2 linked regions of the Coturnix japonica genome follow. Each later gene encodes a partner of the first gene's protein in a complex. Links are inferred from orthologs where the notes say so. Each region holds a gene or a part of one and is shown in the gene's direction. Other genes may lie near its edges.

What was found.
Region 2: ABI1 (region 1) and WASF2 share a complex: the UniProt entries of both Homo sapiens proteins name them as parts of the WAVE2 complex. The link is inferred for Coturnix japonica from reciprocal best matches to the Homo sapiens genes ABI1 and WASF2.

Annotation. Positions count from the first base shown.
Region 1 is NC_029517.1:14,562,547-14,566,010, forward strand, and holds the end of ABI1 (abl interactor 1), read left to right. Parts: coding exon 1-154; intron 155-1,600; coding exon 1,601-1,776; 3' UTR 1,777-2,648; downstream 2,649-3,464. UniProt on the Homo sapiens protein: May act in negative regulation of cell growth and transformation by interacting with nonreceptor tyrosine kinases ABL1 and/or ABL2. May play a role in regulation of EGF-induced Erk pathway activation. Involved in cytoskeletal reorganization and EGFR signaling.
Region 2 is NC_029538.1:1,775,139-1,779,623, reverse strand, and holds part of WASF2 (wiskott-Aldrich syndrome protein family member 2), read left to right. Parts: intron 1-2,658; coding exon 2,659-2,793; intron 2,794-3,305; coding exon 3,306-3,459; intron 3,460-4,485. UniProt on the Homo sapiens protein: Downstream effector molecule involved in the transmission of signals from tyrosine kinase receptors and small GTPases to the actin cytoskeleton. Promotes formation of actin filaments. Part of the WAVE complex that regulates lamellipodia formation.

The DNA of each region.
Region 1 (3,464 bases):
CCCCCCGATGAGATGCCAATGTTCGATGACTCCCCCCCACCTCCACCCCCACCCCCTGTGGACTATGAGGACGAGGAGGCTGCTGTTGTGCAGTACAGCGATCCCTACGCGGATGGAGATCCTGCCTGGGCGCCGAAGAACTACATAGAGAAAGGTAGGAAGGGCTGCAACTGTGTACCTGCAGCACCAGGGATTAATGGTATCTGAAGGGGGTGAATGACTAAGTTTGGTCTGATGAAAAGTCATTGTCCCTGCTAGTCAGAACTCGAAGCGTTCTGTTCTTAGTTTGTCAGTGGCTACACCTGATGTGATAAAACATAATCCTTTTAAAGAAGGATTATAAAATATCTTCAAGCATTCTAGAATAAAGGGATAAAAAAAATATAGCAAAACAGTTATGAGAAGCAGATATGAATCCGATGGCTTTTCATCTTTGCTAAGCTGCTGGACTGCATCTGCGGCTACCTCAGGGCTGCTGAGCAGTCATCTAGAAAGAGCGCTGCACAAAGCCCAGAAAGCCCATGCTCTGTCCTGTTTTATCCCCCATCCAGCTGAAAAGCCAGCGAGAGCAGACCATGAAGCTTTTTGCTGTGAAATGTAGTGGGCCTTCCATGGAGACAGTGACAGGACAAGGAGGGATGGTTTTAAACTGAAAGGGGAGATTTAGGTTAGATATTTGGAGGAAATTTTCTTTGAGGATGGGGAGGCCCTGGCAGTGGCTGCCCAGAGAGCAGGGGGTGCCCCATCCCTGGAGGTGTTCAAGGCTGGATAGAACGGGGCCCTGGGCAGTCTGAGCTGCTGGGTGGGAGCCCTACACATTGCAGGGGGTTAGAACTGGATGGGCCTTTAGGTACCTTCCAACCCAAACCGTTCTGTGAGTCTGTGAGACATACCAGTGAGTCTGCATCAGCAGACTGTAAATGTGCTTAGACATAAACTCATACAATAAACATTTCTTCCCGCGAATGACTGATTTCCTGCCCATGGAGCTGTCTCTTTTAGGGCAGTGACCAGTCTGTCAACAGCAACGCTGCAAGTTTTCTCAGGCCCTGGCTGGTACTGTCATGTGCATGCAATGTGTCTGTGGTACCATCTTGGCAGCAGCGGTGGAACTGCTGTGTTCAGTCCTTGCTGCTGGCTGTACTGCATGCAGGGCATGGTATAGTTGCAGGGGCTATTGTGTAAGAAATGTTCCTAGTGGTCTTCTTCTGCAGAGTGATTTTTTTTTTAAGGCTTTCTCTAATCAAGATATGCAGGGATCGATGCCTTTGGGGCAGTCTGAGCAGAAATGAACACCACATTCACTAGGCCCACCTAGTGCATAACCCAGCTTATAGGTGGCCATATGCACTGGTGCACAGCACCCCAGCCAGCCCATGCCAGAAGGCTTAGGAGCATTTAGTGCAGTCACCACCCACTGCTTATGGGCAGCCAGGACTGCAAGAAAGGGGAGAAGTCACTTTCTGGACTTGATGTTGAATGGGAAAACTGTGAATTCAGAACAGAAAATGCCAGGATGGCAAACAAGTCTTTACAAAATATGATGATGCTGAGGGGTGCTATTAACATAGTGCTAACATTTTCCCTGTTCAATCCACAGTTGTTGCTATATATGACTATACAAAGGACAAAGATGACGAGCTGTCGTTTATGGAGGGTGCAATCATTTATGTGATAAAGAAGAACGATGACGGCTGGTATGAAGGAGTTTGCAATCGAGTAACCGGCTTGTTTCCTGGGAATTATGTTGAGTCAATCATGCACTATGCCGATTAAAATTGCTTTTCCAAGTTGGGTCTTGTACTCGGTCATACCATGATTATTTACAAGGGGTAACTAAAAGCTAACAGAATTGTCTTAATATACTTTCCAAAAAATGTGCCCATTTCTTCAGGCCATACTGTTTTAATGGTATGATTGAATGTCCATCTCTCTGAGTCTCTGGGGGCAGTATGTCTTACCTGATGGCAATTTGTAAAACAAGCAACTGTCTATAACTGGTTATACTTATTTACTTACGCATTGTTAATTTTATGACCAGCCTAAATATTCTGGGGAAGTAGGGTATAATATTTAATGAACCATGATTCAGATTGTGCCATTACATTTTTCAGTACAGCATGGTAACTAACACTACGTTAGACTAACATATTAAAATCTGGATGAGAAGTTTAATGTTAGTGCTGGTCATGTTACTTTTTGTTTAGACTCTTTGCTCATTCTTGAACTATATTTGTTTAAAGCATGCATACAAACTTATGTATTGAAATATACTTTTTTAAAAATCCAAGATGCTTCCAATTGTTGTAATCTTTACCTGGAGTATTCTCACTAAAGTCTATTACGATGAGTTGTTCGGGTCTAAGGTGTCCATGTGAATCAAAAAAATGGGTGGTCTTATGTATGTGTAATTTGTACCCAAGTTTTTTTAATAAGTAAATTTACATTATGACTTTTTCCATTCATAAATATATAAGTGAACCAAAGGTCTTGTCCATTACTTTGTTGGTTGGCTTGACAAAGAAGTTTGGAATGCTAACGTAGCAAAATCACGGCTGTGTTATCCCAGGCAATGTACTAAAAAGCAAATGTTTGTAACATGACTTTATCACTGACAGAGGGCAAATAAATTAGATATGAAACCTGAATTACCCATTTATACAAACTCCTAAAAGTTCTTTTCTTCCAGTGTCAGTTTTAGCAAGAGTTGAACGTAGTTATCTAGATAGAATGAGTTGACACTGTCTGTAGCTGACATTTCTCAGTGGAAACTGTGTCTGGACGTGGTAGTGTGCCCAGCTGAGCAGAGACAGGGGGCTGTGCTGCAGATCTGACAGAGAGGAAACAGCCAGAACAGGACGAGGATTCCTTTTACCTGGCATGGAGCAACACACTTAAACCATTTGCATCAAAGGATAACAAGCAGAGATAGCTAGAGGTGATACTTCTGTTCTGCAAATACTGTGGTTTAAATAACCTGAAAAGGAATGCGGTAGTACTGGATAATTACTGTAATAGGAATGTGTCTGTGACTTCAAAGCAGTCTTCTACTGAGAGGGCATTGGATATTCTCTGTAAATGAGTGATGGAAGATGATGGAGTTGAAGCTTTGGCTGGCTGTTGAATCATTCATTGTAGCGTGGGTTTGAAATACTAAACCTTCTACTTTCCCAACTGCTGGCAAGTAACAACCAATAACATACCTGTATTTCATTATGAATTGGAAACTAGTTACATATACAACCTATTCAAGTCTACACGCTATCTGTTGTTATAATCTCTTCCCCTATACACAATTCCAGATACTTCTGTAATTTAACAGCCAGGGAAGCATTCAAACTACCTCTGTTGAACAGATAGCAACATGCATGCTCTGTTTATTGTTGTGAATGAATGAAATCCGGAGCAACTTCAATTTTCATACACTGATTGATATTTATTCTCATTGTGGCCTTTGTGCATCA
Region 2 (4,485 bases), on another chromosome or scaffold:
GTGACAGAGCCCTGGTGAGATCCTGCAGATTTAGGCCGTCTTTGCAAAGCTCAGATATTCAAAGCTTCTCCATGGCTGCCTCAGCTGGACACAGTGAAGCACTGGGAGCCACATTGCAGCCAGGCTCCTTTGCTAGGAAGGTGCCCTGTGATATCTGCGTGGTGCAGGGAGGGAGCTGCATGCAGCCAGGTACCTGGAGGAGAGCAGGGCATGTGGGGGGATAATGAGCACCATCCCTTATCCGCATCCCTGTGGTCAGCGGTGCTTTAAATGAAGCTATTTAGACTCGGTGCTGCACAGCACTCGCAGCCAGCTGACCAAAGTCCTGCCCCCCTCCTTTACCTCTCTTACTTTGGAGGAAGAAATCCACTCCTCCTTCGTACGCTGAGCGTTGAGGGAATGCGAAGCAGGTTCAGTAGGCTGTGACAGCTCTGTCAAGTGAATAATCAGCCATGCCTGCTGCACCACAGTCTCTTTACAAAGATGCAAACATAAATCTTGTCAAACTTTCATATTCCAGTGAGTTTACCCTTCGTTACTATCACAGCTGGTAGCGCTCTGTATAAGCCGGCTGTGCAGTGCTATGGAATGCACGAGCTAAAGATGGAGAGACCTATTGAATCACACCGCCTGTCTTCCTGCCAGTGCGTGACAGAGATCATTCTGATTGTGAGTTGCACTTTTGCAACAGTCAAAGTAATGAGACCAAAAATGAATCTCTGCCTTTCCCCATCTAAAACTGCACGTGGAGCACTGAAGCGTATGCCAGATCCTGAATGGTAACTCAGGACTGATGCACTTAGACAGGTGAGGGAACACCAACCATCCCTGCTGCTTACGGGGCTAAGGACACCACGTGCAGTGCTCTTTGTGCTTGAAACATGCAGCTCAGCACCACAAACTTGGTATCTTCCCTTCTACTTGTTGCAGTTCCTGGTGAGATTTGGAACTGATTCTCGGTTCTCATTAACACAGAACCAAATTACAGCTCTGTGGGCTGTTGCTGGGAGGGGCAACAAATGATCACGTAGGTAAGTGTTCACTTCCTTTGGTCAAACAGGAGAGCTGGTGCTGATGGTGAGCACAGAGTGCTTGGTGAAACGTGGCTGCAGTGAGTGCAATCCAGCCCTTGGGTCTCCATGGCTGCAGTCCTCCCCATGAGGTTGGGGAGAGCTGGCTGGGCTTGTTAGCAGAGCATACGTGGAGTCAGTGCTGTCCAGGTGAGCCGAGGGAGGTCAGCTGCAGTTCACATCCAGCTTTTACCTTCTGCAGGCACTTGGAGCTGGCACTGCCACCAGAAAGGGTGGGGGAGGTTGATTTTTAACCTGCCTCGTTCTCCGTGCTTGGCAGTGTAAGGAGAACTGCGTGGCATTGTGAACGAGTCACTGATAACAGGGGGGGAATGAGCAACCTCTGCTATGGGTGTCAGCTCAGCCCTGCTGGAAGGCTTTGCACAGGCACTACCAGCTGCCATTGCTGTGCCTCGTGGAGGGGATCTTTCCCCTGTGACGTGCTGCAGACAGCCACATTTTCCAGCATTGCTGTTAAAGTCGGCCTTCCCACTGCTTATCCTTCCCTGAATGTCGGAGAGGATCTCTGGGACTAACAGATTCCAGAACAAACTGCTGACCGTGTGATGATGCACTTACAGAACCAGACGGCTCGTTGGGAGCAGCCTCGTGCTCAGCAGCCGTGCCTGGAAATGTTTCCCATCAATGGGAACTCGGTGGGTCTGGCTGCTGTCAGTGCCAAGTCTGTTCCCACCCCATCAGTGCTGTCCTCTGCGTGGTTATTTGGGGTTCCCACCCTCAGGTTATGCTGGAGAGCAGAGCACTAAGGACGTTGCTCCTTTTAGCTTCTTATTCTGTCAGTTCACCCATCTCTGTTCACCCGTGGTCATGTCTCCTTGCATATGTAGATTTTAAACTCTTCAGGACGGGGGGCTTCTTTTTGTTAGACTTGTAAGTGGTGCAGCAGGCTCCTGGTCCAAGCCCCGAGGCGCTCTCACCATCCAAACGATGGATGATGTTTGTCATCGCAGCTCACTGGGCAAGCCAAGCTGTTACAGAGAGAATATTCCTGTTGGAGAAGTTCCCTTTTGGTTTTGATTTAGAATAAACGTGAATGCATCAATTTTTCAGACACTGCCACCTGAAGGAACAAAAGGGTCAGTGCTTTTGTCTGCGGTTATAGCTCAGGCTTTAGGATCAAGGACTGGGTCTGCTCTCTGGTTCCAGAGCTCTTTGAGCTTGTAAATATGTGCCAGTTCCCCTGGAGGCGGGTCTGCTGGAGACCAGGAGCCTTTGAGCTTCTCCAGAGCAATAAAAGTCTGTGTTGTCTTGTCTAATAAACAGCAGCAGTGAATCTTAAAGGACCTGCAGACCCATCCGGATTCAGACCACTGTTACGTTGTCAGCCCTCTTTTTCATTACTCTAATACGGGCTTGAAAGCACGTCTCAATTGTTTCTTTGTGGCCCAGAGATCCCTCAGAAATGTCAGGTGTTGGTGGAAGGGAATGTTGTCTTTTTGGGTGTTGCACCCAACCCTGGTGTGGCTCATTCTTCTTTCTTTCTTTCTTTCTTTGAGAAGACAAAGTGGGAGTCGGCGTGTGGTTTGATGTGGCTGATGATGGTAACACGGTCACTTTAATACTGCAGGTAAATTTGCTGAGGACATATTTGGAGAGCTGTTCACTCAAGCCAACACTTTTGCCTCCCGGATGAGCGTTCTTGTCGAGAGAGTTGACCGCCTGCAAGTCAAAGTCACTCAGCTGGATCCCAAAGAGGAGGAAGGTAATGGAGTGCAGCACGGTCCCTGCAGACAAAGCGTGGTAAAGGTTCTCTTGGAGCCCGGCTGGTCCATGGCCCTACAATGAGCATGGTGCTATGGTTGGTGTTAATGTCTTCTCTTGGACTAAGAGGGACTGTTCTGTCCCTCCCAATGAAGCCCGGTGCTGCCATGTGAGCATCCATCTGGCTGGGGAGAGATTTCCTTGTTAGCAGTTCTCCATGTGGAAGCTCGTCCTTCAGCAGTTGGGTGCCCATAGACTTCCCAAGTCTTGGTTGCAGGGGTTTGAAACCACGCTGGCAGCTATTGAGCCGTGTCTGTACAGCAGCAGGTTTTGTCACAGCACTGTGTGAGATTTGCTGGGCTTCCCGAGAGATCTGTGGGAACAGGAACCTGAGCTTAAGGAGTGCTGAGCACGCCAAGAACTCCAGCTGAAATCAGATGTTTGCTGCTCGATCCTCAGTGCCGTTGGCCTGGGTCAAGCTGCTCTTCACTCGCTCTTTTCTCTTTCTTACAGTCTCCCTGCAAGGCATTAACACCAGGAAGGCCTTCAAAAGTTCTACAACTCAGGACCAGAAGCTCTTCGACAGAGATTCTTTGCCAGTGCCTGTCCTTGAAACCTATGGGACCTGCAATACTCCTCCACCTCTCAACATTCTTTCCCCTTACAGGTAACACCACAACACCTCCGTAGGCACTTGTTCCCTTACAGAGGAAGCTGCTTCCTCCCGTCCAGCCGAGGTCATTTCCCATCCCCTGCTGTACTGAAGTAGCCATCTTCAATAGGAAATAGAGTTGGAGATCCCCCAGGAAATCTCACGTGAAACTTTGCTTTTGAGGCTGTACAAATGAGCATAGCTAGAAAATTATACGTTTGGTTACCTGCTGTCACTTTTGTGACCGCCTTGGGGCAAGGCTTGCCTTGCACTGCATAAACACGCAAGGTATTGTGCAGGTGATGCATTTTTCTTATGCTTCACTGTAGCCCCGTGGCTTCTTTCCAGAAGGCTGCAGTGCAAATTGCAGAGCATCCATCTGTGTGTGGCTCTCACCCCAGTGGGCGCAGCAGGCTCCTGTAGGTCTGGGGATGCTTCCCATGGCCTCCCACGCCTGCACTGAGACATCCAATGTGACCTAGGTGGGCTGTGTGAGCCCTTCTCTCCTGCTGTGTCGTTCCATCTTGTCCATAGTAGAAGCAAAGGGGGTCAGAATGCAGAGACTTAGCCCACATCCATAAATATCTTCTGAACAGGTAAAAAGTAATTACAGATAGCTGGAGGCAGCTGTCTTCTGCCAGACGCAGCTGCACTGCAAAGTAGGAGAGTGAGTGTGTGTGCACACACGAGTTTCAAGGACGCTGCCGGTCTGATTTAGGGTTCCCAAGCTGGAGAAGATTTTTTCACACCAAAAATACAAGACAAACAAGTGGGAGTTGGAGTGAGAGACCTGCTGCTCTCCTGCTGGTTGCTCAGAGCAGCCGAGCTCTGAAATCCAGAGCGTGTGTGAGGGTGGAAGCGATGGCAAGGGGGAGTGCTGGGACAGGCGGCTGCTGCTGTGGGTCTGCTGCCTATTTTTGAATGGAGGACAGAGGTGAGAGCAGAGCGTTTGACCTTCTCAGTGCAGCCCTTTAATCTGTTGACTGGGCTGGTGGCTTTTATTTTTCTTTGGGCTGCAAACAGTTGCATGACTTGGCCTCT